Macaca fascicularis: one gene and its partners. The protein of the gene in region 5 purifies or fractionates together with the protein of the main gene of each other region. This does not show direct contact. Links are inferred from orthologs where the notes say so. Each region holds a gene or a part of one and is shown on either strand. Other genes may lie near its edges.

Region 1 (4,471 bases), on a different chromosome or scaffold from region 5:
GAAACTGTATAATAAAAATGAACTTATGTTGTTAAAGAACTTAAGTGGTTAGTACCCTGTAATCCCCTTGCCGATTTTGAAAATTAATCATTTCTGTCCACTTTCCTCCTTCTTCACAATTTCTGTCTCCAGACCATGTGGAGCTCATCCCATTTCAGTTTTTGCATATGTTACTCTTTCTGCTTGAAACACTTTTCCTCTCCAGATGGCATCAAGGGTGCTCCTGCTCAACACCAAAGATTTACTTTACTTAAATGTCAGCTCTACAAAGTCACCTGTTCCTGCAACTACCCCTATTAAGATAGCATTCCTATTCTCAGAGAGCACTTACCATTGTGTGAAATTGTTCTATTTGTTTAGGGTTTTTTTGTCTTTCCAAAAAGAATGTAAATTCCTTGAGAGAAAGGATCTTGTCTACCCTGTTTCTCCAGCACTTAAATTATTCTTGGACAGAGTAGGCCCTCTTCAAGTATTTATTGAGTACATGGATTGCAAGTGGTACAAAGTGAGACTAAAATGTATCACTGGTAGAAATAACGTGTGAGAAGCTACCAAAGAAGCCAGAGACTGCGTAGGAGTTACAGTGCCTACCACCTCTAAAGCAAAAGGAAACAAAATAATAATATGCAAACACTTAAATAGTGCTTACTCCATGCCAGGCACCGTTCTAAACATTTTATGTATCTATTCACTCATTTTATTCCTCATAATAAATAGGTTTCTCACTCCCCGCCGCCCTCTTTTTTTTTTTTTTGCAGGTGAGTAATGTGAAGCACACAGGTTAATTTGCCCAGGGTTATAGTAGTTAACGACAGACTTAAAATTTGAACCCTGGCAGTGAACACTTTTTAAAAGTACTATTTGATACTGCCTCTCCAAAAAAGCTGATTGGTTGGCAGCATGGCCCAGCTAAGGTTTCTCTGTGACCATAAAAATAAGTCTATCGACTTAAAATAACTGGAGAGGGGATGAGAAATAAACGGTACATTTAGTTTCAGCCCACAGAAGTAGTAACATCATTGGTTATTACGTGCGAAAGTTCTCCATTCTCATCAACTTCTCAGATCCCACAAAATTTCACCTTTGGCCACAAAAACATCCCATTTCACCATCTTAACTTTCTCCCGCAACCCTTATGCCGCCTCATTCCAGTGTTTGTTCATTTAATATGCTCCAAATCCTGCATCTGCGGCTTTCTAGGGGCCAATGTCAACTCATCTGTGAAATTGCAGTAGTATCTCTCTAGTCTCCACCCCGCAAGAGGACTGAGCGAACGGTGAAGTGTGAGAGCGGTCTACTGATATTAATTTCTACCACTCTGATGGTTATTTTGAGTATCCTTTTCTCCTCCGCATTTTATGAGAAAAGAAACGCAATTTCACGTTCAGAAACGCCCTCCCTAAGCCGCACTGGCTTCTTGCTGACCGCTGGCCCGCCCCAATCACGCTTTGAGTCTGCGCAGTAGCGACTGCCCAAGCCCTTGCCTATTTCCTGCCGCCGCGTTTTGATGACGAAATTTTCCTGCGCCTCGGGACCGGCAGCGGCGCGTAAGGAAAAGTCAGTTTCCGTTTTTCCCGCGGATTCTGGTGCCTGTGGGGCCGGTGACCCAATACCATGAAGGAAACGCCACTCTCAAACTGCGAACGCCGCTTCCTACTCCGTGCCATCGAAGAAAAGAAGGTATGGTTTGGTCCCCGCAGAACTGCGCGCTGCATGGGCGCCCGGGTCTCAAGGTGTGGACTCATACCTGGCCCGCCTGGGCCGGGGGAGCCATTAGGGGAACGACCGGCACGTTCACCCCATTCCCCAGGCTTTATTTTTTTTCGACAGGTTCTTTTCAAGTCTCTAGTCACCCCAGCAGTTGTCCGTGCTGTAGTTTCCACTTTCTTGTATGGGCGGGGTGGTTAGGATTCCACTTTCCCCCAAGTGCTTAGCCCAGGGCCAGACAAAAAGTAGTTGCTTAAGACATACTTGTTGAAGGAATAAATGAATGAATGAATTTGTGCTTAACAGCGGCTGGATGGCAGACAAACCTATGATTATAGGAACATCAGGATCTCATTTGGAACAGATTACGGATGCTGCATTGTGGAACTTGGCAAAACAAGGTAACAGGATTTAAATGAGATAACACATTGAAAAGGGAGAAGTTTGAAAAAAGACCTTATTGACTCGGTTGTTTATAAAGCAGCTAAGAAGTCTGCACAGTATTCTTTGTTTAGCTGACAAAAATAAGTATTTTTTATGCAAGATTTTTTGATTTTGTGGTCACACTTGAACTTTTTAATCATAAACGTATTTTCTGTCACCTATCACATAGTTCTGACTTCTGTAAATCGTGTAGACAACCAGTAGTGCTCATATCGAATTTGTTTCTCACACTAATACAGAGATCTTGAGCATCTTGTCATTAAGTGTACATCCTGATTTCCTGTTTTTCGAGTGACATGAAAGTTAGGTTTTCAAATATTCATTTGAAAGTTGTAAGGCTATTTGGTCAGTTAATGGTGGTGAACTGTGGCATGTGAAAACACTTAAATCTCAAGTTTTCATGCCATCTTGTATCAATAAATACTTGCTTTAGAAGTAAAGGTCATTGATTTTTTAGAACAATCTGTGGAATAGTAAACATTGTAATAAGAAGAGAGATGTTTTTTCTGTCGTGTTTTTAGTTGCACCAATTTATGTTTTATTTCTGTGTATATTATACTTTACATATATTTTTTACTTTCTATGATTTATCTGGCTTACTATGATATTACTCACATTAAGATTGAAACTTGTGATCTGTTTCAGATTTTTTTTTTTTTTGGAAGGAGAGTCTATTTAGTTAATACTTTGTACTTTATCTTTGCAGAGTTCTTGGACAGGTTTCCTGTGAACTTGTGTCTCCAAAACTCAATAGGGCAACAGAAGGTATTCTTTTTTTTAACCTTGAACTCTCTCAGATGGCTGCTCCAGCTTTCGAACCTGGCAGGTATTTAAATCTTTTTCTTAAGCTGCTTTAGTCATAGGAGAACCTAACAGCAATGAGCTTTTGTTTTAATACCTGGTGTTATATTTCATGACAGTAGTCCATTCCTATTTTCTTATTATAGGCAGTCAGATCTCTTGGTGAAGTTGAATCGACTCTTGGAAAGATGTCTAAGAAATTCGAAGTGTATAGACACTGAATCTCTCTGTGTTGTTGCTGGTGAAAAGGTGGGGAATATGCCCATAATTCTTAATCTTAGGATGAATACTGTTGATTCATGGATCCCGGTGTCTGAGCTTTTATTCTCAGAACTTTAGTCAACTCAAGTTTTGTACTGATTCACTTCACTTCAGATGTTCTTGAGTGATACCCTTAGAACTTTGTGCCACCTCTATCTCTCTGAAGGGATAAAAAGCATTATTCTAAAAGGGTGAAAATAGCAACTTAGATTTTTGTGTAAAAATATTTTATTCAAAGAATTTGTGGCTTTTTCATATAATCTCATTTTCTTATCTGCATGTGTTCATAGAAGCAGGTAGTTTTCCTTTTTCATGCAGAACTCAAGAACAGAAGAAATCCTTCATTTGGATAGGTTTATCGAGTTACACAGGGCCACACCATGTCAGTGGCAGGGATAATTTTGAAAATCTTAGTCCCAATAAATTGTGCTGCATTAGGATATTAGAATTTTATTCTTTTTTTTTTTTTTTTTGAGACAGAGTCTCACTCTGTTGCCCAGACTGGAGTGCAGTGGTATAATCTCAGCTCACTGCATCCTCTGCCTCCCCTGTTCAAGCAATTCTCCCACTCAGCTTTCTGAGCAGCTGGAACTACAGGCGTCTGCCACCACACCCGGCTAATTTTTGTATTTTTAGTAGAGACAGAGTTTCACCATCAGACTGGTCTTGAACTCCAGACCTCAAGTGATCCACCCACCTTGGCCTCCCAAAGTGCTGGGATTATAGGCGTGAGCTACTGTGCCTGGCCAGAATTTGATTCTTGATTAGGGTATTTTGACAAGCATTTTTATTCCAGAGAAGTCATTTAGCTTTCCATATTCCATACCTAAGTATAATACTTCCTATTTGCATTACTTGTAAAGTTACTAAAAATATCACAAAACCTAAAAGGTTAACGTTTTTTAATTTTTGAAAATATTCATTATTTTCTGTTAGGGACAGTGACACTTTCATCCAGGCAGGAGTGCAGTGGTGTTATTATAGCTCACTGTAACCTTAAACTCCTGGGCTCAAGGGATCCTCTCTCCTTAGCCTCCCGAATAGCTAGGACTACAGGCGCATGCCACTCCACCCAGCTAACTAAAAAACTTTTTTTTTTTCGTAGAGATAGGGTCTTGCTGTGTTGCCCAGGCTGGTCTCGAACTCCTAGGCTCAAGCAATTCTCCCATCTTCGCCTCCCAAAGTGCTGGGATTACAGGTGAATGCCACTGTGCCTGACCTAGAGTTTGTGGTTTTTAACAGACATGATAAAAATGTA
Region 2 (3,904 bases), on a different chromosome or scaffold from region 5:
CAGACTATTCCCAGTCAATAGTAAACTGATGGGGGTAGTCCATTGTGCCTATATTGTGCAAATAATATCATTTATGCTGAACATTTGCTTTCCTTTAGAAAACTTCATTATGTATTAAGCAGCGAGTGTCTATGTGACCAGCCCCCAGTAAAAATCTTGGGTGCTGAGTCTCTAATGGGCTTTCCTGGGCAGAAATGTCACAAATAAGTTACTGTATTTTCACTGCTATAATAAACCTTAGCTGTGAGTATCACTATATGCTAAGTCCAGCAAATCTCTGAATGTGGAGGTGGTCTCGGGGATCTTGATACAGGGTCAACATTATATACCTACACCCAGCATGAGCCCACAGAGATCCTTACCCACTTCAAGAAGGCCTGACTTCCAGAAGCAAGGTAACTGATAGAAGACGGGACCTGGCCAGCAACCCAATAAAAAGCCCCAACCCCTAGAACGTGGAGCTAATGATACTTATTGAACTTACTGACAAAATAAGGAAAAATAATACTTATTGAAAGCCCACTGGGAGTCTCAGTCACTGTGCTAAGTACTCACTCTATTCATTTCCTCTTTATTATCCTCATTTTTTAGATAAAGAAATTTGGCCACAGTGAGACTGAGTAACCAGCCTGAGATCACAAAGCTGGCCAGAGAAGGAAGTGACATTCTGGCCCAAGGCTGGCTGCAGACACTACAGAGCCCTCTCTCTTCTCAGTACCCATACTGCCTGCCTAGCTGCCACTTCCTCAACCTGTCAGGCTGCTTGGCTGACCCTAGGCTTCATCTGTCAAGCAAATCATGAACAGTTTTCTGCAGAACTAGAATAGGAAGAGAAATAGTACATTTTAGACCAAATGATCCTTACTGTGTATGATATTTTTCAAAGCACCATAACACAATCATTTCATTTGACCCTCATCACAATCATGCGCTAGGCTGCCTGGCAGATGTCCTCCTTTACTGGACAGGGAAAACAAGGCCAGCAATAGCCAGGTGGTTAAGACTAGGGCAGGACTCAAGCCAAGAGTCCTGACTATGTACCTGGCACATAGGAGGAGGTCAGCAAATGCCGGCTGGATGGCTGAATGATAAGTATAAAAGTGGGTTCAACAGGAAACTAGAGGTTCATTTTCTGAATCTTCATTTTTAAAATCATTTTTCTTTAGAATTTTTTCTTTAGAAATATCTGCATAGTACTGACCAGTCAACAAAGAACTCCAAGTAGCCTTCATTTGGTTTCTCCAGCTTCGGCGTCCCCATTTCTGCTTTCACGCCCACCAAGATGTCTGTGTGACCCTGCAGACACATGCAAGAAGGGTCCTCACTCAGAGTAGGCAGCCAGGCGCTCCACCACCTCCCTCCTCTTCTGGACATACACCCCTGGGGGACTCTTTTAGGAGCAGTGCTAAGACTTGGAAAGTGGTCTTTGGAGGAGGTGAGCAGTCTTTCAGATATGGAGACACCTCCTCCCTGAGTTTGGCTTGGATCTTTGATTTCCCCAAAAGCAATCTGCATTCCAAAAGCCAGATGGCATCAGCAGCTCATTCCTTAGTGTCTACTCATTTCTCCACTTGGGCTTCAACCATGGTCACAGTACTCACCAGCTTGACCCTGGCGGACCCACTGGTGTTGGACACCACATCGGTTTCCACTTCAACACATCGGTAGTCCTCACAGCCACGGCCATCCACGCGGAGGTCTTCCTAGGTGTTAACAACCACAATCCTATAGCTGTCACCCCAGACCAATTTAGACTCCTAAACTGACTCACTCATTTTCCCCCTAGAGAAGATATATGCAGAATATCTTTTCCTCTTAGTGGATCATCTAAAATTCTGTCCTTGTAGCTAACCACATTACTATTTTACATATGAGGAAATAGAAACTCAGAGAAGTTGAGCGACTTGTCCAAGGTCCTACAGCTAGTGAAGACAAAGCTAGTTTTCCATGCCAGTTGTGTCTGATTGCAAAATCTACACTACATACCACTATACAGAATATGTACACAAAAACAAGATCTGAACAAGAGACAAAATAAGCCACCTCTCCCCAAATCTGCAATTCTTAAATTGCACCAAGTAGTGTATGTGTCAGAGCTACAGGGTACAATCATCTCAACTGAAGCCCTCCTACCCCTAAAATTCAACAAGATCTACTGTGTAAACAGGGAAAGACACCTAATCTTCTAAAGAGGCAGTCTCTAGAACAGGGTCAACAAACTAAGGGACCTTGTTTTTGTAGTTTTACTGGAACACAGCCATGTCCACTTGTTTAGGTATTGTCTATGATTGCTTCTGCACTACAAAAGCAGAGCTGAGTGGTTGGGCCGGAGAGATGATCCATAACGCCCCAAATCTTTACTATCCAATCCTTTACAGGAAGTTTGCTGACTCTTTTGGCACAAGATGGTTTTCAGGGAGGTCTATGTTCCTTCTGCCCATTTATTTGCTCCTTCAATTACTTATATCAGTACAACTCATTGGTATCTTTTATGCTATGGTTATAATCCACTACTATCATTAGTTATTTTGCTGCTCAAAGTGTTCCAAATTCGGCCACTGGGGGCTTCTTTGGGTTAGTTTTTGTGTTCTTTCAACATGCTGCCAACTTTTTGTGAGTAATTATATACTTTCTGCAACACAAGATATCTATCCTCTTGTGTTTTCTCTGTCCAGCCCTAGGGATCAAGCCTTTCTCCAAGAAGCCCTGGTTGCTTTTATTGGGGAATGGTACTGAAAACCAGGATCTAGGCTCTAAGTTCATTGCTGTTGGAATATTATTTCTTTCAGAACTTCTTAGCAGACAGAGCTAAAAAATACAGGTATGTATACTAACCACCCCCCCCCGCCACCCCCCCAAATCTACGTGTAATTCTGTATCTATCTACGTATCTATTAAAAAGCCATAAGTTCATACTGATAGCTAATTCCAATCTAACATCACATGGTTCATTCTAGCCTTCCTCCTTTTCTTATTTGTAACTTCTTTCTCAAAGAAGGAGAAACCCGGTTCTTATTATCTACCATGCATTTCTATATTTGTTCAATCTCAGCATACACATAGTTTCCAAACTTCTAATCCATACCCCTGTGAGAAACAAATTTACTAACAGCGCACAGCATTTGTATAAAGTTCTGTCTTTAGCCTCATAGTATTCAGCCAAAATACTGTTTTCCAGTTACTTGAGTTCTTTTCTTCCACATGCCCTTCAGTGTGGTTACATTATTCACTTGTAACACAGACTCATTTGTAACTTGTAACTTTTTTTTTAGACTATGGCTCTGTCACCCAGGCTGGAGTGCAGTATGGCAGGGCTCACCGCAACCTCCGCCACCTGCGTTCAAACGATTCTCCTGCCTCAGCCTCTGAAGTAGCTGGGATTACAGGCGCACCACCATGCCTGGCTATTTTTCATTTGCAAATTTTTGTATTCCATTTTGGGTTCCCCTATATCCTGGTTACTTTTACTTACTTACTTTCTGGGTTTGTGAGCTATCACTATAGTTCTAAGAGACAAAACTCAGAAAAGTATGCTCAGAGAAATGTCACTCTCCTCTTCTCTGTATTATGCTATTTTCATGCCCCTTTCTTCCCATTCACCCCAGGTTTCTCTTTAGTTTCTGGTTTATCTTTCTTGTATTTTCTCTGCACAAATAAGCAAATACATGAATTTTTAAATATCCCCTTGTTTCTTATATGAAAGGTGGAATACTATAGATACTCTTACTTTTTTTTTTTTTAACACTTAACTATATATATATATATATATGCAGGAAATCTTTCCACGTTGGCTCATGGAGCTCCTTCTCATTCTTTGTAAACATTTTTCAAAAGCAGTTTTTTTCAGAAAAAGAATCGTTAGTTTAATCAGATTCTCCAAGGAGTTGATGCTTCCCAGAAACAT
Region 3 (4,577 bases), on a different chromosome or scaffold from region 5:
GGGTCAGGGACCCACTTGAGGAGGCAGTCTGTCCGTTCTCAGATCTCAAACTCCGCGCTGGGAGAAGCAGTACTCTCTTCAAAGCTGTCAGATAGGGACGTTTAAGTCTGCAGAAGTTTCTGCTGTCTTTTTTTCAGTTATGCCCCACCCCCAGAGGTGGAGTCTACAGAGGCAGGCAAGCTTCCTTGAGCTGCGGTGGGCTCCACCCAGTTCCAGCTTCCCAGCCACTTTGTTTACCTACTCAAGCCACAGTAATGGCAGATGTCCCTCCCTGAGCCTCGCTGCTGCCTTGCAGTTCGATCTCAGACTGCTGTGCTAGCAGTGAGCAAGGCTCTGTGGGTGTGGGACCCTCCGATCCTGGCACGGGATATAATCTCCTGGTGTGCCGTTTGCTAAGACCGCTGGAAAAATGCAGTATTAGGGTGGGAGTGTACTGATTTTCCAGTTATGGTCTATCACGGTTTCCCTTTGCCAGGAAAGGGAATTCCCGGACCCCTTGTGCTTCCCAGGTGAGGTCATGCCCCGCCCTGCTCTGTGGGCTCCACCCACTGTCTGAGAAGCCCTAGTGAGATGAACTTGGTACCTCAGTTGGAAATGCAGAAATCACCTGTCTTCTGCCTCACTCACACTGGGAGCTGCAGATTGGAGCTGTTCCTATTCGGCCATCTTGTGACCTCCCCCAAACTTTAAATATTACATACATGGTGCTTGTTCAAAATGCTTTTACATGCATTTAATATATGGACAACTCAGGCATAAATTTTTATCAAATTACGATCATGGAATGACAAGTTACAAATGTTAAGACAATGCTCAATCGCTTATACTAAACTTTCAACGAACAATATGTACAGTTTCTGTTAATGCCTTTATTTTCTATTATGTTTCTTCTGATTGCATACGTTGAAATGCAATTTTACATTTACTGAAACTAATAATAAAAAATTTGGGCTTGTATTTTGCACATATTTTCCCCATTTTTCTACTAATTCATTTTTACTGTATTATAGAAGTATCTTTTACTGACAGATTGGAAAAACAACCCATTCTTCCCCACGGATAATCTGGGAAGCTGCTCTAAGACGCTGATCTTGAGGCAGACAATAAAAGCGTAGTAACAGTGAGGGCCCTGGAAAAGCTCCCGGGAAAGTAAAAATACAAAGTTTCAGTAACTAAGATTTCTTTCCTGGTTAAATACACTCAACCTGTATTTGGGCTGAGTGTTGGCCGGGTACAAATGTAGACAAAGGTTCCCAGAGTGCCGCCCCAATCCTCTCCCACAACATGGCCCCGAGCTACTCATTTTGAGATTTGCCTTTAGAGAAGAGCGAAGGAGCGGGGGCGTGGCGAGCAGCGTGAGATCATCGGAAAGCGCCCCTCGGCGCGGGCACAGCCGGCGCGTCATTGTCGTCATCGTTGCCCGACCGCTTTCCGGAGACTGTAGTCGAAGGCCCTGAGGTATTTTTCAAAGTTGTACTTTCAGTTTTTCTCCTCCTCCTGTTTAACTCCGCTTTTCCTCTCCTGGGATTCCCCTGTAATCCTCTGGGCAGACTGAGAGAATGGGAGTTTGGCTGCATAGCCTTCCAGGAATGCAGTGTCTCACAGCTCTTCGCTGGGGCAGCATTGCTGCAGGTCCCCCACTTCCGCTTGTTTTGGGGCTGCTTGCAGGCTTTGGCTTACCCCGGCCCCTCATTTCTCTCTCTTGCTCCGGTCTTTCTCTTTTTCTTCGTTTGTTAACCACCCCCTTCTCAACTCTTGGAAGACGAAAAAATTAAAAACAACAACAACAAAAAAAACATGACTTCACAATTTTCAGCTGTCTTCAAATCTTGCGTAAGGAGAGAGGCTAAAGTGGGACGTCTAGGGGAGTCACTTTACTGTGTTAGCTCCGTTTATCATTCACATTCACAGACTGCCTGCCGCTGCAGTATTAGCCCGTCTGAGATAGTGGGCTAATTTCGACCTTTAGCTGAAATCTGTGGTGGGTAATCCAAGAGAGCAGTTTTTCTTGATGACCCGGGAAAGTTCAGTGTAACTAAAACTTGCTTGAAAATACCTTTAATGTCTTCATGTTTGCTGAATACAATTCAGTTTTGGCTTGATACAGACGTATTTGTCGCAATGAGATGTCTGCTATCCACTTATTAACCCATTGGTACTGTCTGATGGTAGACAGAACCAAGACTTAACCGTGATTTTTAAAAAAATTAAATTTAAAATTTTTGTGGTTACATAGTAGGTGTATATATTTATGGGGTACACGAGATGTTTTGATACAGGCAGGCAATGTGTAATAATCACATGGAAAATGGGGCATCCATCCCTTCAGGCACTTACCCTTTGTGTTACAAACAATCCAATTATACTTTTAGTTATTTAACCCTGTATTTTTGATTCAAAATTAACAGATTAGCCCTGTCGAAGTACAGAGAAGTATTTGCGTTTAGTGGAAATGATAGAACTCATTGTTTTGTTGAAAGATAATGATAAGTGTGAATAATGGTTTTTCAAAATAAAACAAAATTCTCAGTCAAAAGATACTACAGCTGCCTTCAGTTAGCTGTGTTGTATGTATCACAGTTCAGAAGTAATGCAATTTTTTTTCTTAACTGCTTTTACCTTTCCAAATGGCTCTTCATATGTATTATCTCAGCTACTGTTTCCAAACAGTTGACCCTTCAAGCATAGCTCTACATAGTCCACAATGGATTAGAGTATTTGATAACTTTCACTTTTGGTAAAATACTATCTAATGTATTGAGGGCTGAGCCAGGCCCTGTTCTGATGGCTTTTATCTATATTATTTATTTAATCTATGCAGCAACCCCATATACTGTTATTTAAGAAATGAGGTGATTGTAATAAGCCACTTCCATATGTTTTGGAAGGTAATTTTGCTGCTTGATTGCTGTAATTTTGGAAATGCTTTGAATTAAACACTGAATAGAAGTAAATTTAATCTAATGTAGTTATTCATCTCAATCTTGAGCAATATCCTCATAATTTATATACTCCTCTATTATTAGACTTCTGGATACATTTATTTTTAGATGTTAATATCTTTTTTAGAAAAGGAAGAAGTCTGTATGTACTCAGGAATTGTACTGTGAGACTGAAGGAGAGTCACAGACAATACTAACATGGAGTCACTGTTTGCCCAAGACAGCAATATTTATTGAGAACTTGTGTGTACATTTCATTGTTATTTTCTCCTGAGATAATGCAGTGCAAAAAAGCCATTCCAGTAATTCATTACGAGTGATAGAATTCTGGTGCAGCAACAGCAAGTGGCTCTCAAGTTCCAAAACACAATCATGTTGGATTTATTCTCAAGCTTAGTTCATAACTGTGTATAATTATTTGGTGTAGAGATGGGAAGAGCCCCAGAACGTACATGATCATATGTTTGTTTGGATCCATGTGGTGACTTTCTATTATCTGTAAGCTCAAACTGTAATCTGATATTAAGAGTTTCCAAAATTAGGTCTTAGGTTACTTTGGTTGGTTTTAGTTAGTTAACAAATAGTTGCTAAATACCTAATACATGACAAGACATTATGTTAGTGATGTGTTCAAAATGTACCTCGACATGAATCTTACCTTGAGGAATAGCCCAGTGAGTAAATAACCAATGGAAAGGTAAGAGCAGAGGAGTGACATGATCTGACTTAGGTTTATTTTATTTTACTTTATGTTTTATTTTGTTTTACTTTACTTTATTGTCTGTTCTTTTGTTTTCTTTTGTTTCCTTTCCTGCCCTGCCCTGCCCCGCCCCGCCCCACCCCACCTCACCCCACCCACTTCTTTTCTTTCGGAGTCTGGCTCTGTTGCCCAGGCTGGAGTGCAGTGGTGCAATCTCAGCTCACTGCAACCTCCGCCTCCTGGGTTCCAACGATTCTCCTGCCTCAGCCTCCTAAGTAGCTGGGATTACAGGCACGTGTCACCACGCCCGGCTAATTTTTTTTGTATTTTTAGTAGAAATGGGGTTTCACCATGTTGGCCAGGCTGGTCTTGAACTTCTGACCTCAGGTGATCTGCCTGTCTTGGCCTCCCAAAGTGCTGGGATTACAGGCGTCAGCCACTGCGCCTGGCCTGACTTAGGTTTTAATAGAATCTTCTGTGGCTTCTGTGTTAAGAATAGTTTGTTGTGGGGTGGGGTACGTGAAAACCATGAGACTAATCATGGAGGTGTTGTAGTTCAGATGAGATGATAACATCTTAATTGGAAAGAAGTGAAGATGGAGAAGCAGTTTAATTTTAGATGTATTTTCTAGGAAAAGCCAATAGAATTGCTTACAGATTGAAAGTGAATTGTAAGAATAAGGTTATTGTCAAAGTTTGGGGCTTGAGCAACTAGAAGAATGAAATTGCCGTTAACTGAGAAATAGAAAACTGTGGGAGGGGCAGGTTTGTGGGAAGATTCGGAGTTCAGTTAAGGAGGTGATAAGTTTGTAATGTCTGTTAGTCATCTAAGCGGAGATGTTGAGTAGGCAGTTAAGTATGTTCATTCCGGACTTCAGAGTGGTCATTGCTGGAAACAGACATTTGAGAGTTGTCAGTGAACAGATGGTATTTAA
Region 4 (4,164 bases), on a different chromosome or scaffold from region 5:
GTAATTTTTGTACTTTTATTTTTTTTAGATGGAGTCTTGCTCTGTCGCCCAGGCTGCAGTGCAGTGGCACGATCTCGGCTCACTGCAACCTCCGCCTCCCCGGTTCAAGAGATTCTCCTGCCTCAGCCTCCTGAGTAACTCAGATTACAGGCATGTGCCACCACCCCCAGCTAATTTTGTATTTTTCGTAGAGACGGGGTTTCACCATGTTGGCCAGGATGGTCTCAAATTCCTGACCTGAAGCAATCCGCCTGCCTCAGCCTCTCAAAGTTCTGGGATTACAGGTGTGAGCCACCATGCCTGGCTGTTGCATTTTTTAGAGCCCAAGGTAAGCAGCAGGAAAAGCCCAAGGGGCTCCAGGCCATAGTCCAGAGGCCATGGGACATGGCCCCCACATCTCTAGGTTGGGTACTCAGAGCCAGCTGAGTTCTCCCTCAGCCCTTTGCTCAGGGCCCCGGATGTGCCAGAGTAAGGGTAACAGATTCCTCAGTCCAATGACCTGCTCATCTTGCCAGGCCCTGCCTCCTGCTCAGCTGCCTTGAGTCCTTACTGGGACATGTTGCTTTTTCCACCCAGGACCTCCCCCACAGCAACCCCCTAATCCACTGTTCTTTTCAGGGTTTGAATTAGGCTACACAGAGATAGGCAGTTCATGTGTGGGCGAGGGGCCCTGGTCATCCCCAGGAGCCAGCACCAGACCAGGCTCTGCCAGGCTTCACATGGCTCTGAAGTGCTATTGGGTGATTAACGTACAGTGAGGGTTGTGTGGGCAGAGGAGGGTTTTATTCTGGACATGGGTGGCTGGGTGGTCAGTCCCCCAGCAAGATAGAGGCCTCACGCACATGCTGCCTGACCACTCTGTCCAAGAGGGTGTGCACATCTCGAGCAGCCTGGGCAGCAGCCTCCAACACCCGCTCCAGGTGGTCCTCGTGCAGCCGGGCATCCATCTCAAGCAGCGCAATCTGTCCTGAGGCTGGCAGCAGGGCCAGGGCCAGCTGGGGGCCACCAGCTGCTTCCTCCACATGGCTGAGGTCCGCCAGGGCTGTGCCGTCCACAAAGCCAGCTGAGCACGCACACACAAAGTCTCTCATGGGTATCCCAGCATCCAGCACTGCCAGTGTGGCCGCATTCACACAAGCTGCATAGGTCCCACCATCTGCCTGTAGCACCTGCAGGGACCCCAGGGTGTGAGTCTATCAGACTCTCTCCCCAACCCCATCACACCCACCCCTCCCTGGATTGACACTGCAGCCGGCTCACCTGCACATAGATATCAATCTGGGAACGTGGGTGCAGCTGTGTAAGGATGGCTGCCTCGAAAGTCTGGCGGAGCTGCAGGCCCATCTCACAGGACTTCCGGTCCCCATGTGGCCGTCGCTTGCGCTCACCTGTGCTGAAGGTCGCTGAACTATATTGACAGTTCACTAGGGCCCTGTCCGGCAGGGCTCGAGCCCGGGAACCCCGGATCTGGAAGAGGACGGACACATGAGCCAGGCCCACTCCTTCCAGCTCACACGCCACTGTCCTCTGTGGGTCTGCCTCTCCCTCCACTTTCAATGCCTCAGCAAGGGGCAACTACATTACCTCCAAAACAAAGCCCCCTGTTTTGCACTGTCTTGCATGTGTTGCCCTCTGGCATCTTTTAATTGGCTTCCTTGTGCCCATCCTTGCCCCATTCCCTGCCAACCCAAGTTTACAAACATCAAGGCTGATTCTGTCTCACCTTCACACTCAAATCCTAATTACCTTACAAAGGTTTCACATTACATATGAAATAAAATCCCAAATCATTTCCCTGGTCTACAAAACCCTAATTCCTCACCTCCCCGGGAACTCTCAACCTTATTTAGAGTTATCCCCTCTTTCCCCACCAGCAGTCTTTCTGTTATGCATGAGTGCCTTGCTTGTTTTCACCACCGTGGTCTTCGCCCTCCTGGTTCCCTCCGCCTGGAAAGCAGAGCTCCTACCCTCATGCGCTAAACAAACACTCTTTCAATACCTTCACTGGCCAGGCACAGTTACAGCGCTGGAAACACAGCAATGAAACCAGAGAGTTTTATGTAGTTTCTGTCCTTAGGAAGCTTATGTTCTAGCGAGGAAACGGGAAAATGCTTAAGCAAAATAGGCATTTGAGATTGTAGATGCACAAAAGACAAGGGTTTATTGTAGGGAGAGAAGTACCGCATGGATAAAGCCGTCTGAGAAGGAGTGACGTCGGAGTAGAGCTGAGAGGAGAGGGAGCGAGTGGGGGAGTGCCTGGCACGTTGAAGAGCCGCAAAGAGGAGGGAGAGCGCAGGCACAGAGACCGATGAGAAAGGCAGGACCACCGCGCAGCACACTAAAGACTTGCGTTTACTCCGAGTGAGATGCAGTGCTGAGCATCGGCTGTGTAGACTGAGGCGCGCCGGCCGCACCTCTCAAGTCCCCGAACCTGTGCTCAGCCCGGCTGCCCCGCAGATCCCGCGGTCACGCGATTCCCATCCCGCACGCCCACTCGCCTCGTGCGGGCCGTAGACCACCGCCAGCGCCTTGGTGTTGCCCTGCTCGATGTAGGCCGAGCCGTCAGCCTGCGCGAACACGCCCATCCGAGCCTGGATCTTGCGCAGCTCCCCGGCGCGCCGACCGTCCACCCGGTAGCCCTGGTCCGACAAGAGCTCCAGCCCCGCCATGCTGCCCGGCCGCCAGCTCCGCTCTCTGCCTAGTTCTCTGATTCGCGGGAGAACTACAGCGCCCTGCGGCTCCGACCTCCCCAAATCTACGGTTTCCGGCGGTCCGCTATCACTTCCGGTTCCGGGGAGCTACAGCTCCCCGCGGTCCCGACCTCCCTGGATCTACGGTTTCCGGCGGTCCGCTGTCACTTCCGGTCCCGGAGAACTGGAGTTCCTCGCGGCACCGACCTCCCTGGATCTACGGTTTCTGGCGGTTCGGCTTCACTTCTGTCTCCGGGGAACTGCGGTGGCGCTGTCGGGGAAGCAGCGGTTGAGCCCGCAGCCGTTCCCGGAGCTGTGTCCCGGGTGCCAGGAGGTGGGCGCCCGCCGAAGGAGAAATTCCCGTCACGCCCTCGGGACCAGTGGTGCCTACATTCAGCCCTTCCCCGCGCCCCAAGTGTGGAAGTGGAAGGATGAACCCAGTGGGTTGCGACACTGACAGGAGAAGGCATAGAGCGGTGCTAGAAAAGTGACCAGGCTGGTGTCCCAGGATGGTCCACACCTGGCACCTCTCCAGTCCTCTCATGCCCTCCCTTTACACCGGGCTTCCACACTGCAGTCGAGTGGGCCTCCCTTTTCCTTTTGAGGTTGCAGATTTCCTCATCCTTTCCAGAGAGGGGTTGTGTGTCTGTTTATCTCTTGCCACTTAACCTCAGCGGCTTCAAATAGCAATCATTCTATTATTATGTCCTGCAGTCTTGGGTTATCTAGGCTCAGCTAGGTAGTTTGCACGTAGGCTCTCTCCTACAGTTGCTGCCAGATGGTGGCTGGGGCTGGAGCCATCCTAAAGCTTTCTCTTTCACATCTTTGGTGGCTGATGCTGGTGGCTGGCCAGGACCTCATCTGTGGCTGTCAGGCAGCACACCTACCTGTGGCTTCTCCATGCTTCCTTGCAATATGGCAGCTGGGTTCCAAGGGTAGCCTTCCAGGACAATGAGATGGACAACATGTGCATGATATTTTTAGAACCTAGCCTCAGAAGTCACATAGTGTCCCTCCTGCCAGACTCTGTGGGTCAAGGCAGTCAGACACATCTACCCAGGCTTAAGGGATGGGGACAGGGACCCCACCCTTCAGTGAGAGGAGTGTCAATATTAGACTGTAGGAACAGCAGGTGGGCTGGGGAAATGCAGTCTGCTGCAGGGGCCCAAGTTCAGCATCCCCTTAGAGGTGGTTATGCTCTCCTGAAAGACTGAGAGGCATGAGAATGAGTGAGCAAGCCACAGCCCTGCTGCTGCAGCTGGTATGAGGCCATGATAGGCCACTATCCTCTGCCACTGGCCACCACCGATTCCCCACCCTTGGCTCTGCAGCCAGACACTGCGTACTGTGGAGCAGCCCAGGCCCTTCTCCCCTTGCAGTCTGAGCTCTTCCTGTCCCTGTTCTTACTGGGTCATTTTGTTTGTTTTGTTTTTTTGAGATGGAGTCTCACTCTGTCACCCAGGCTGGAGTGCTG
Region 5 (4,434 bases):
TTTTTTTAAGTGCATATACCTCATTTCATCACTAATATGCCTCGTGGTAAAACTCATCAATACCACCCAACTGCCCTTATTTCTCCTATTTAGTCATGTACCTATTCCTTTGGTATACAAAATAGCCATATACATATGTTCTGTACACACAGAAAGGATAGAACTCCCTGTGAATATGAATCAAGCACCTCCAGACTTAGGTAGAAGTTCGATTCTCCTACTCTAGGGCATTTCAGAACACACTCCAAAACCAGTGGGGACTCACAGCAGGCAACAGCACAATATGGTCCTCAGGCTAGATGTCCGTTGTTGTTGATACAGCCATGGTCATCCTGTCCCAAACAACACTGGCAGAGCTGAGTAGTTGTAACAGAGACTGTCTGGCTCATAAGCCCAAAATATTTATTATATGGTCTTTTACAGAAAGCTTGCCAAGCCCTGTTCTAAAAGTCTAACAGTACTAAAATCACAAATAAGCACCCTTTCTACAACCATTCCATACTGGAAGACCTTCCATCCACATCTTTCTTTTTCTGCTTCCCATCGGGATCATCCTGCAATGGCTGACCAAGTCAGAGGCCTTCAAGTGAGTCAGGATTAAATCCTCAACCCTCTCATACTTGCCCTAAAAAGTGGTCCCCAGGGATGGGTTTCCTGGAAGACAATTTTTCCATGGGTGGTGGAGAGGGGAGGGGTAGATGGTTTAGGGATGATTCAAGTGCATTACATTTATTGCGCACTTTGTTTCTATTATTATAATATGTAACGAAATAATTATACAACTCACCATAATGTAGAATCAGTGGAAGCCCTGAGCTTGTTTTCCTGAAACTAGACAGTCTCATCTGTGTGTGATGGGAGACAACGACAGATCATCAGGTATTAGATTCTCATAAGTAGAGCTCAAGGTAGATCCTTCATAGGTGCAGTTCACGGTAGGGTTTTTGATCCTAGGAGAATCTAGGATTCTGCCACTGATCTGGCAGGAGGCGGAGCTCAGGTGGTAATGCAAGCTATGGGGAGCAGCTGTAAATATAGATGAAGCTTCACTCGCTTGCTGCCTGCTGCTCGCCTCCTGTTGAGCAGCCCGTTCCTAACAGGTCATGGACTGGTGCTGCTCCGTGGCCTAGTGGTTGGGGACCCATGTTATATAGGACTTAGCTCTGGTTAAGGCACCCTAAGTGCAGCTGTTCCATGCCTTCTCACAGTATACTCTTTTCTATCAGTATAGATAGTGTCTCCTGCTATCTTGCCAGTAAGTTTTTTCTCATCAATGACCAAAACTGCTAAACCAAATACAGAATCTGGGTGATCTTTTTCCTTCTCCTTTGCTTCCAATGTCCAGTTGCGTCTCCCCATTTGGTGGGAGTGGACACTTGTTTTAAGTTAATTTCTTCCTTCTTAGTTGCAACTCAGATATTTAGTTTGAGCCTGAGTCACCCAGTACATCATCTGGCTTATTCCAAGAGCTAAAACAACTGCTAAAATCTTTTCAATATCTGCTTGGTCAGTTCACTCCACTTCTCTGAAATTAATGTTATTACAAATCATAAAATCAAAAGCAAACTCTGTTCAGTAAAGATTCAAATTTTCCTAATATGCATGAAAGTGCTTGACAAACTCTAAGTTAGATGTAATTTGTCCTGCATCCTCATTCACCCATTCATTCCTAATTCCATCCTAGCTCAACTCCATTCAAATCTTGCCCATGTAATGTTTACTCTCTTTTTTTTTTGAGACAGGGTCTCCCTCTGTCACCCAGGCTGGAGTGCAGTGGCACCATCTCAGCTCTCTGCAGCCTCGATCTCCCAGGCTCAAGTGATCCTCCCACTTCAGCCTCCCAAATAGCTGGGACTACAGGTGCGTGCCACAAGGCCCAACGAATATTTTGTATCTTTTGTAGAGATGAGGTTTCACCATGTTGCCCAGGCTGGTCTTAAAACACCTGGGCTTAAGCGATTTGTCTACCTCAGCCTCTCAAAGTGCTGAGATTACAGGCATGAACCACTGCGAATGGCCTCTCTCTCCAATCTTTCAAAACATTATGAACGCTTCCTTCCTTCTTTTGGAAATTCGACCTCTTTAAACATGACATGTAACAGTTTGCTACCCTCTATAAGTAGTGCTCAGTGACAGGCATCACAGAGTAAGTAACACAGAGCCAGGGTTCTGGAGCAAGACTGCCTGAGTTCCCGTCCTGTCTACACTACTTATTAGCTGTGCGACTTTGAGTAAGTTACTTATTTCTGTTTCAGTTGCCTTAACTGTAAAAAGAGAGTTATTGCCTGTAGTCACCTCAAAGTGTCATTATGTGAATTGCACAGGTTAATATACGCAAACCCCTTAAAACATTGTCTAGTACTATAAATAGTTGCTATTTTTTTATACTGTTCCCCGTGTCAATAGCTTTCCATTGCTCACAAAATAAAGGAAAATATCCTTAATCTGGCCTCAAATTTCCTGCACGTTGTGACCACTGCCTACTCTGCAACCCCATTTCTTAGTACTTGCCTTCCAGACATACTGAATTACCTCTCATTCTTGGAAATCTCCATGGTTTTCTTTTTCTTTCTTGCCTCGTGGACTTCTGAACTCAGGTTTCTCCTAGTTTAGGACGCTGTGCCTCCCACCCTCCCAGGAACCTAAAGGGACCACTACCCCGCGAGAAGCTGGGTGAGTTCCCAGGGCTCCGGCGCTTCTACCCTCACTGCACTTGGTAAGCTGTACCCTGACTGCTTGCTCCTGTGTATGCGAGCTCCCATCCACCCGTGGGCCTCCTGAGAGTCGGCCTAATTCGTAACCCGGTTCCCAGTAAACAGTGCAGACCAGGCGCTAAGTGAATGAATGAGCACGAGAGCTGGAAGCCCTCTGAGGCCCCTCTGGTGTCCCTCGTTCGCCCGCCGCCTCGGCCCTGGCCAGGTCGGAACGATCGGGTGCCCCTACCGCCCGGCATGGCTCTCTCAGTGTCCCCGCACCTTCATGCGCAGCAGATTCTTGGACAACTTTGTCTTCCGCTCGGCCGCCATGGTGGCTTCCGCCCAGCGCCGCACTCCGGCCGCGAGCCTCACTGCACATGCGCGGAGCCGCGTTCGCAGCTGCGTCGCTCTCGTAAAGCGCGCCGCCCCGCTCCGCCCCGCGGCCCCGCCGCTGCGTGTCGCGCGCCGGCGCGGCCACTCAGCGGGCGCTCTGGTGACTGAGAGGCTGGGGTAAGCGCGCGGCGCGGTGGCGCGGGGATGAGCGCGGCAGATCCCAAAAAGGCCAAAGTCAGAGGAGGATCCAGAGCCTGGCTTCCCCGAGCCGGGGGCCGCCTTCCCGGGACGTCGGCCTGGCCCCCTCGGGGACCCATCCTCGCTCAGGGACTCCCTTCCTCAGAGACTCCCTTCAGACTCAGTAGTCCTCGCCAGCCTCACAGGTTTGCGTCACGCGTGCCACCCGCCTGGGTCTGGTTACCCACGTGTATTGTTTTCCTAACGTGGATGGCGGGCTTCCTGTGTTCTGGGTCCCTGTGCAGGGGCCAGGTCGTTTGCTCTTCACCAGGACCCTACGAGTTGCTGCTTTCCTTACAGCAGCCCTGAGTCCCGGGGAGCGTGGCGGGGGCCACCCCAGGCGGGCTGGCTTCATCCCCGGGCTGCTGCCGGTGCGTGTCTGGCCGAGTGATCCCTGCTAAACAGAAGAATCTGAAGAAACTGCAAGGGATGGAGGCAGGCATGGGTGCCAAAGACACCTGAATGAGAAGAAGGCTTGGTTTTGATCTAAAGAATTGAAAAGACCAGCCTGGGCAACATAGTGAGACCCTATCTCTACCAAAAAAAAAAAAAAAAAAAATAGGTGGGTGTGGTGGCACGGACCTGTGGTCTCCATTACTTGGGAGGCTGAGGCTGGAAAATCACTGGAACCCGGGAGGTCGAGGCTGCAGTGAGCTGAGATCCCACCACTGGACACCACCTTGGGCTATAGAGCAAGCCTTTGTTTCAAAAACAAAACAAAAAAGAATTTTAAAAACCACTGAAAATAGAGTGGCATTCATACCCTGGTGTTTAATGCTCTGGGTACCAACTAAACACGTTTTCAAAAATCATTCCCAGGTCCGACGCTTTGGAACACCCTCAAGCTAATAGCATTTCAGCTGATAGCATAGATTCTATGTCAGATTCTTGACCTGGTCACCTTATGGGTAATTAGTTCGCTTAATCTCCATAAGAACCGGAAAGAAGGTATTGTCATCGTGTTGTTAGGGATTCTGAGACACAGAGCGGGTAAGGGACTTGGTGGAATTCACACAGCTAATCCATGTTAGAGCTGAAATTCAAACACCGATTTGGATGTTAAAAGCCCTTGAGGTTTTCCCAGGAGTAAATAAAATCATTGTAATGTACTAAGTGGCTACAGAATCTTATTCACTTGTGACTGTGTGTGAGATGCCGGGGTATAATA
Region 6 (2,651 bases), on a different chromosome or scaffold from region 5:
CCACCAAATGCCTATAGAAACTGCTTCCTCAGGAGGGCCTGTTCAGGCTTCTGTCTACCCTCACAAACTATACTACTGAGAAAGAAGGGTTAATTTTTCTTTTTCTTTTTGAGACAGAGACTTACTCTGTCACCCAGGCTGGACAGCAGTGGCGCGATCTTGGCTCACTGCAACCTCCGCCTCCCAGGTTCAAGCAATTCTCTGCCTCAGCCTCCCGAGTAGCTGGGATTACAGGCGCCTGCCACCAAACAAGGCTATTTTGTATTTTTAGTAGAGATGGGGTTTCACCATGTTGGCCAGGATGGTCTCGATCTCCTGATGTTGTGATCCACCCATCTCGGCCTCCCAAAGTGCTGGGATTATAGGTGTGAGCCGCCATGCTTGGCCAAGAGTTAATTTTTCTAGTGGGGTGTTTGCTGGCAAAGTAACGAGTTTTCAACAAGGGGAAGGCCAATGCACCTCATCAAAGTGGGAGGGTGGGAAGGGAGGCCTGTGACAGAACTTTACCTGCACCTTACCACCTGCCCTGTGTCCTATTCCCAACTAGTATTGGAGACAGCAGGGAAGGACTGAGTCAAATATGAAATAGGAGTTTTAAGCAGAGAGGTGGACTCAGGACTAAGTCTTATTATCTGAAAGTGACTGAAAATTACCTGACAGATGTCAGAGGGGCCTATGATCCAAATGTAATTACTGGAAAAATAAAACATTTGAAAGAACTGATTGGAGACAAGATAACCAATAATTTTGGGTTTATTAAACTATTAGAAAGGGGCTAGCAATCTGCAGAGCCACCACTTACTGTCCACTCATTACTGAAAACTCAGTTTCCATAGTGACCTAATTATACTTTATTTAATGCAACTTCAATGAATGAGATAACTTTTTTTTGAGATGGAGTCTTGCTCTGCTGCCCAGGCTGGAATGCAGTGGTGTGATCTCAGTTCACTGCAACCTCTTCCTCCTGGGTTCAGGCAGTTCTCCTGCTTCCACCTCCCAAGTAGCTGGGACTACAGGCATGAGCCACCATGCCCGGCTGAGAACATTTTACATATATGTGAAATAGTTACCCAGTCCTGATCAACTAGAGCACTGAGTGACACACATTAAATGTTAAGTTTGAAAAGACTGTAAAACATTCACATATGACAGCTCTTAGTGAAGTAAGAGCCTTTCATATTCCATAATTGTTTGAAACATCCAGGAGAGCTAGGTCCCGTATCTCCTCTAGAAGTGTGTATAGGCTCCTTCCCTTTGTTTGGCAATATTCTTGATATTCTTCCTGAATGATGTTTACTTTGACCTCTTGGGCAAGCTGAGCTTCTTCCATAGATTTAGTTACTTCTTTCACTAACTCACTCTTCAGCAAAGGGGAGCTCTGATGAATAAGTTCTGTATTTGGTATCTTGTATGGTTTGTTACTAATTATTTCAAGTCTGATTGTATCAGAATGGCAACGTGAGGCCTGTACGGATATTCTTACCTAGCATAGAGAAGAAAATACATATTACTAAATCACATTATTTGTTCCTTACATTTTAAATATTAATAGTACTTAATAGAAACACAGACTTACGGTTACATGGTCAAACAAATGGAACGTAACAGATTCCCCATCTGTTGTAGTAGAGGTAATTTTGTTTTGAAATCGTTGAAGGGATCCTGGTTTCCATGCAGAACGGCTATCTGGGCCAGATGAGATGACTAAACCATCTTTATTTTTTAGATAAGCAGCACCTTTAATCCCAAACCTATATTATGACCAGAATATAAATCCAGAGACAATGTATTCTTAGTACACAGATCTTGTATGCTTATCTAGAATACTAGTTTTTCTCCTAGATTAAAAACAAATTACTTTTCCTGTGGTTTACCTCCAAGTATTTATTTCACCTTAGCAGATGGAAACAAAGTATTTTGTTAGATAAGAAAGACCCTAAAATGGACATAGATGTGTATATATATACACACATTCCAATCTTCACTTTATTTTTTTTGAGACAGAGTCTTGCTCTGTCACCCAGGCTGGAGTGCAATGGCACGATCTTGGCTCACTGCAACCTCTGCCTCCCGGGTTCAAGTGATTCTCCTGCCTCAGCCTCCCAGGTAGCTGGGATTTCAGGCACGCGTCACCACGCCCAGCTAATTTTTGTACTTTTAGTAGAGACGGGGTTTCACCATGTTGGCCAGGCTGGTCTCGAACTCCTGACCTCAGGTGATCTGCCCACCTTGGCCTCCCAAAGTGCTGGGATTATAGGCGTGAGCCACCCCTGGCCTCCAATCTTCACATTTATATACTGAATCATATGTTACATTATGTACATATAACTAGTTGCTTAAATATCTTAATAAATTGTATCTATGTACAGTTTGTGTTCTACACTTTTACCGATGATTTGTTATGCACCATTGCATTAGATGTAACATACCTGGGTATAAATACAAGCACACCATTTGTTCGAATTGAATAAATAACTCCATCAGATATGCAACGCTCCTCGGTGGCAGGGTCTTTGTCTTTGAAGTACATGCACTGGAAGAGCTCAGTAGACTGCTTCTGAGAATGCTGTGCTGCCTGTAAGAAGCACAACTCCAAGGTATTATAACACTCCCCTGGCATTCCCCGAAGAAATGAAATTCATATTCATTCA
Region 7 (4,594 bases), on a different chromosome or scaffold from region 5:
CCTCCCAAAGCACTGGGATTATAGGCGTGAGCCACTGCGCCCAGCCTGCCTTGGCCTCTTAAAGTGTAAGAATTACCAGTGTGAGCCATTGTGCCCCGCCAGAAATACATTTATGTAGCTTGTGGCTATCATACTGGACACTGCAGTTCTGGCATGGTCATGATTTCAGCACTGAATGGGCATTCTAAGCATGGAAGTTAGGACAAACTTACCTTACAGGTTACAATAGCTCCGACATCTGGCAGTAACTGGGACTCTGTTTCTCTTACTACAGACACCACAGGAAGCTACGGAGGGAAAAAGAAAAAACTGAAATGTCCTGGCTAACTCTTGGGTCAAAGCATTTGTGTCTTGAGAGTAATATAGGAATGTCTTGGTACACAGGTGAGAGCTGGAGTATGCATTCATTTATAGGCCAGAGCAGAAGGCCTTAGAAATTTTAGGAAATAGGAGGACCAGGGGGCTACAGAATGCTGCTAGAAGATGTAAACCTCTAAACTTCTTTTTTTGTTGTTGTCGTTGGAGATGGAGTCTTGCTCTGTTGCCCAGGCTGGAGTGCAGTGGCATATTCTCGGCTCACTGCAAGCTCCACCTCCCGGGTTCATGCCATTCTCCAGCCTCAGCCTCCCAAGTAGCTGAGACTACAGGCACCTGCCACCACGCCCGGCTAATTTTTTTTGTAGTAAATCCCTAAACTTCCAATAAGTTTTCTGGTGATTCTCTCAGAATTTCTTGGTATACAACTATATTGCCTATAATCATTGACAATTTTACTTTTTTTGGTTTTTTTTTTGAGATGGAGTTTCACTCTTGTTGCCCAGAGTGGAGTGCAATGGCGCCATCTCGGTTCACTGCAACCTCCACCTCCTGGGTTCAAGTGATTCTCCTGCCTCAGCCTCCCGAGTAGTTGGGATTACAGACGCCTGCCACCATGCTCGGGTAATTTTTTGTATTTTTAGTAGAGATGGGGTTTCACCATGTTGGTCAGACTGGTCTCGAACACCTGACCTCAGGTGATCAACCCACCTTGGCTTCCCAAAGTGCTGGGATTACAGGCGTGAGCCACTACATCTGGCTGACAATTTTATTCTTTCCTCCAAAGTTATACTGCTTCTTTCTGTTTCTTATTTTACTGCACAGGCTGAAATTTCCACAGAAATGTTACAAATAGTAGCTACACTTGTTTTAAGTGAATACTTGCAGAGTTTTCTCTTTGAGCATGGTATTGGCTGTTAGTATGAGACAGATATTTTGAGCCTCATCTTTTAACAATCTCTCCGTTGCTTACAATGCTTCAGCTCTCCTGGCCTTCTTTCAGTTTCCCCAACTTACTAAATTCTTCCCACTTTCAGATCTCTCTTCAACCTATTCTTTTTGCCAGAATTGCACTCTCTCCACCCACCTGACTCTAACCTACTCTTTAGATGATTCAGCTTCAATGTCACTTCTGCTGACTAGGATGGATTTGCCTGTTACATGTTCTTAAGGTGCCCTGTAATATTCTTTCAAAGCAGCCACCACATGTGTAACCATATGCTTATTTGAGCATTTATTTGTTTACAATTTGTGTCTGTGTCCTTTGATAGCAGAAACCAAGTCAGCGCTGTGCCTGACACATGAAAATACTCAAGTGGTATCTATCAAATGAACAAACTCAGGACTGTTAAGGACATTCCCAACAATGACTGAATAGAAAGCCCCTTGAGTCAGACGGCTTAAGTTACTTACTCAAAGCAGAATCGAGGTCAAGTTAGCCAGAACCTAACGGTTCTAATTCTGAATCCTCTTTCTACTGTGCTCCTTCAAATATTGCTTATATGATCCTGAGCTAATCCTGGATCAATCTCTAAAACTAGAAAGGTAGGTATTACGCATTCAACAAACATTTATTGAGGAGCTGCTTTGTGCTAGATACTGATGGTATGGTGGTAGCACCTGCACTTCGTGGAACTTAGATTTAAGCAAGGGAGAAGTCTAGTGGGAAACATACCTGAGTGTCTAATCATATGCTGACATAAGTGCTTGGAAGAAAAGGGACAGAGTTTTTTGTAAGTCTTTAACAAAACAAACAAAAACAAAACATCCCACAAAACTCCTTTCCTCAATTAGTGGGTCCAGAAGGGCTTCTCTGAGGTGATAATACAGAAACTAACGGAGGTAGGAATTAAACAGGCCTAAGAAGACAGAAGCGTTCCAGATAGATGGCATGTTACAAAGGCTCTGTAGCAGGAGAAAGCTTGGCACATTACCGACACTGAAAGAAGCTAGTGTGTTACAAATTTTTTTAAAAGGGCAAGCCAAAACTGTGATTATAACTTTTACAAATAGAAAAGACTGTATGATTAGATTGCGTCAGTGAGGTGGAGATAGTGGCACTAGATAAAGCCGGAGAGGTAAGCAACATTCATACAGTATACAACGCACTGCTGGGCTGAGCTGGGCTGGGTTACTGAGTTCGCATCTGCTTTTGTCCCAACCTCCCTCCCCGAGGGTCAGCAGCACAACCAAGCGAGATCAACACAACTAGTGTGTGGTGGCTAAGTGCACAACAGCGGCGATACGGCTAGAAGAAACTAAGAGACCAACATTGTACCACTAAGGCTCTAAAGACGCGTCCGCAGTGCCCATGCCTAAGGACTGGAACTCAAGGGCAGCCTAAGGGAAAAACAGAGAGAGAGGAGACGGCATGCCGCTTCCTTTACCGCGCCGTTCTCGCTGCTCTTCATCAGGCAGCCGGCAAGCGACGAAAAGATGTAGCCGTGGCGGGTGTAGGTGCCGCTGCCCGGGCTGCCCTCCTCCAAGTTACACAGACGTTCGCCTGCAGAAAAAATGCTGCATCGGTCATGGGCCCCCAGAAACTGCAGGCCGTCCAGGCTTCTTGCTTCGGCCCCTATCCAGGACTCTGTACGGGAAGCGCTCACTTACCGGGAATACAGTATCTCACAGGTGGTGCCATGATTGCCGCTGTCCCAAAACCCGGATGAAAACGAAATCGATTTCTCATTGGCCAAACCCAGGCACAGTTCCGCAGTAAGATACGCGTCAATTGGTGTTCTTTATCCTTGCGTGTAAACTCCATTTCCCAGGTTACCCCGGGACAAATCCGGGGGCGGAACTTCAGCGCTCCATGCTTGCGCCTGCGCGTGTGGTTGAGGATGGGCTGGCGGCAGGTCCGGGTCCGCTGGGTGGCACTGCAGGCGGCGGGCCATGGTGGTTTGGATTGAGCCGGGCCCGGCCGGGGCGCCGAGTCGGAGGCGGTGGCAGTGAGCGGCGGCAGAGGCTGCGGGGCTCGGTTTGGCTGACTGGGGAGTCGGCAGGCGGCAGGTAAGGGCGAAGCCTCGGCCCTTGCTCCCCATCCTAGTCCCTTTTTCTGGGTCGGGCAATGCCCTGGGGCCTTGTCTTGAGTCCGGGTTCCTGCTCTCTCCTCGCCCTGCCCTGCGGGGCTGCGCCCTCCTCAGCCGGAGCGCACCTTGCGAGCAACCGTTACGTTCAGAGCAGGAAGGAAGGAGGTCAAGCGACCCAACTCGTCTGTTTCACAGATGTGGAACCTCAGATTCAGAGACCGGGTTTGACTTGTCCAAAATCTTCAAGATAGAGCCCAAACTGGAACCCGCGATTTTTGACTTCCAGTCCATCGCAGTTTCACCTCGCGGCTGTCATTGAGAAATAAAACCTTTTCCCGGTTTTTGTTTTGTTTTGTTTTTGAAAAGGAGTCTCGCTCTTTGGCCAGGCTGGAGTGCAGTGGCGCGATCTCTGCGCACTGCAACCTCCGCCTCCTGGCATCAAGCGATTCTCCTGCCTCAGCCTCCCGCGCAGCTGGGACTACAGGCGCGCGCCATCACGCCCAGCTAATTTTTGTATTTTCAGTAGAGACGGGGTTTCACTATGTTGGCCAGGATGGTCTCGATCTCTTGAGCCGCCCGCCTCAGCCTCCCAAAGTGCAGGAATTACAGGTGATTCCTCCCAAAGTGAGCCACCGCGCCCGGCCTTTTCCCGGTTTTTTAACTGTAGCTTCCAGTCCTGCGGTCCGATCCCCTTCGCGGCCTCCCATCCCCACTTAAGTAAGCTTTCTCAGGTTGAAAAAGCCGAACTCTGGTTGTGTGGGCCCGTCATCAAAAGATAAGCAGCCCCAAAATAAAGTTGCTACTTTTTCTTCTCAGCGTGTTACCCCAGAAGGGAGGTCTGCACGTGAATAAAATGCTACTCTTTATTGATGTCTGGTATCTCCTACTTGAGATTGCAAACATCCCGAGAGCAGCGTCCTTGTCCAGATGACATTGCCCACGACTTTGATCTCAGTTCACCTGACTTCTGATGGCTTTGCCGCCTGTCCCTCCCTGTCCCCTCAGTCGACTTTCCCCTTGGGAAACAGATGGTGACTTAGAGCCATTGGAAGAGGGAAGTGCTGTGGCCTGCAATCTCCTCCTGTCTGGTGGCAGACGACCACTATGGCCTGTGACTGTTACTGAGGGATGAGAGTACTCGGGCTTGTGCTTGGGGTGGTAGTAAAGCTGCGCTTTGCTCTGTTTCCTCCCCTGTTCACTGAGATTACCCCCTTCTTCCCTACACACATATTTTTGAATTTTGCTTTACC

Evidence for each region.
Region 1: the proteins of MPHOSPH6 (region 5) and EXOSC9 purify together in Homo sapiens (affinity purification with mass spectrometry; 5 studies listed by BioGRID and IntAct, with this or other methods). This does not show direct contact. The link is inferred for Macaca fascicularis from reciprocal best matches to the Homo sapiens genes MPHOSPH6 and EXOSC9.
Region 2: the proteins of MPHOSPH6 (region 5) and EXOSC7 purify together in Homo sapiens (affinity purification with mass spectrometry; 4 studies listed by BioGRID and IntAct, counting the BioPlex papers as one, with this or other methods). This does not show direct contact. The link is inferred for Macaca fascicularis from reciprocal best matches to the Homo sapiens genes MPHOSPH6 and EXOSC7.
Region 3: the proteins of MPHOSPH6 (region 5) and C1D purify together in Homo sapiens (co-immunoprecipitation; 3 studies listed by BioGRID and IntAct, counting the BioPlex papers as one, with this or other methods). This does not show direct contact. The link is inferred for Macaca fascicularis from reciprocal best matches to the Homo sapiens genes MPHOSPH6 and C1D.
Region 4: the proteins of MPHOSPH6 (region 5) and EXOSC4 purify together in Homo sapiens (affinity purification with mass spectrometry; 7 studies listed by BioGRID and IntAct, with this or other methods). This does not show direct contact. The link is inferred for Macaca fascicularis from reciprocal best matches to the Homo sapiens genes MPHOSPH6 and EXOSC4.
Region 6: the proteins of MPHOSPH6 (region 5) and DIS3L purify together in Homo sapiens (affinity purification with mass spectrometry; 3 studies listed by BioGRID and IntAct, with this or other methods). This does not show direct contact. The link is inferred for Macaca fascicularis from reciprocal best matches to the Homo sapiens genes MPHOSPH6 and DIS3L.
Region 7: the proteins of MPHOSPH6 (region 5) and EXOSC1 purify together in Homo sapiens (affinity purification with mass spectrometry; 5 studies listed by BioGRID and IntAct, counting the BioPlex papers as one, with this or other methods). This does not show direct contact. The link is inferred for Macaca fascicularis from reciprocal best matches to the Homo sapiens genes MPHOSPH6 and EXOSC1.

Annotation. Positions count from the first base shown.
Region 1 is NC_088379.1:126,876,582-126,881,052, forward strand, and holds the start of EXOSC9 (exosome complex component RRP45), read left to right. Parts: upstream 1-1,530; 5' UTR 1,531-1,614; coding exon 1,615-1,680; intron 1,681-2,013; coding exon 2,014-2,108; intron 2,109-2,857; coding exon 2,858-2,977; intron 2,978-3,098; coding exon 3,099-3,201; intron 3,202-4,471. UniProt on the Homo sapiens protein: Non-catalytic component of the RNA exosome complex which has 3'->5' exoribonuclease activity and participates in a multitude of cellular RNA processing and degradation events.
Region 2 is NC_088376.1:107,885,103-107,889,006, reverse strand, and holds part of EXOSC7 (exosome complex component RRP42), read right to left. Parts: intron 1,704-3,904; coding exon 1,602-1,703; intron 1,297-1,601; coding exon 1,202-1,296; intron 1-1,201. UniProt on the Homo sapiens protein: Non-catalytic component of the RNA exosome complex which has 3'->5' exoribonuclease activity and participates in a multitude of cellular RNA processing and degradation events.
Region 3 is NC_088387.1:53,856,934-53,861,510, forward strand, and holds the start of C1D (nuclear nucleic acid-binding protein C1D), read left to right. Parts: upstream 1-1,649; 5' UTR 1,650-1,797; coding exon 1,798-1,833; exon of another isoform or gene 1,834-1,981; intron 1,982-4,577. UniProt on the Homo sapiens protein: Plays a role in the recruitment of the RNA exosome complex to pre-rRNA to mediate the 3'-5' end processing of the 5.8S rRNA; this function may include MPHOSPH6.
Region 4 is NC_088382.1:153,749,345-153,753,508, reverse strand, and holds EXOSC4 (exosome complex component RRP41), read right to left. Parts: upstream 2,778-4,164; 5' UTR 2,670-2,777; coding exon 2,499-2,669; exon of another isoform or gene 2,182-2,498; intron 1,468-2,181; coding exon 1,261-1,467; intron 1,170-1,260; coding exon 810-1,169; 3' UTR 762-809; downstream 1-761. UniProt on the Homo sapiens protein: Non-catalytic component of the RNA exosome complex which has 3'->5' exoribonuclease activity and participates in a multitude of cellular RNA processing and degradation events.
Region 5 is NC_088394.1:78,050,731-78,055,164, forward strand, and holds the start of MPHOSPH6 (M-phase phosphoprotein 6), read right to left. Parts: upstream 3,078-4,434; 5' UTR 3,076-3,077; coding exon 2,944-3,075; intron 2,655-2,943; exon of another isoform or gene 2,533-2,654; intron 846-2,532; exon of another isoform or gene 791-845; coding exon of another isoform or gene 788-790; intron 1-787. UniProt on the Homo sapiens protein: RNA-binding protein that associates with the RNA exosome complex. Involved in the 3'-processing of the 7S pre-RNA to the mature 5.8S rRNA and play a role in recruiting the RNA exosome complex to pre-rRNA; this function may include C1D.
Region 6 is NC_088381.1:42,990,439-42,993,089, reverse strand, and holds the end of DIS3L (DIS3-like exonuclease 1), read right to left. Parts: intron 2,576-2,651; coding exon 2,430-2,575; intron 1,752-2,429; coding exon 1,577-1,751; intron 1,484-1,576; coding exon 1,175-1,483; 3' UTR 736-1,174; downstream 1-735. UniProt on the Homo sapiens protein: Catalytic component of the RNA exosome complex which has 3'->5' exoribonuclease activity and participates in a multitude of cellular RNA processing and degradation events.
Region 7 is NC_088383.1:106,397,256-106,401,849, forward strand, and holds the start of EXOSC1 (exosome complex component CSL4), read right to left. Parts: upstream 2,979-4,594; 5' UTR 2,957-2,978; coding exon 2,926-2,956; intron 2,819-2,925; coding exon 2,703-2,818; intron 288-2,702; coding exon 213-287; intron 1-212. UniProt on the Homo sapiens protein: Non-catalytic component of the RNA exosome complex which has 3'->5' exoribonuclease activity and participates in a multitude of cellular RNA processing and degradation events.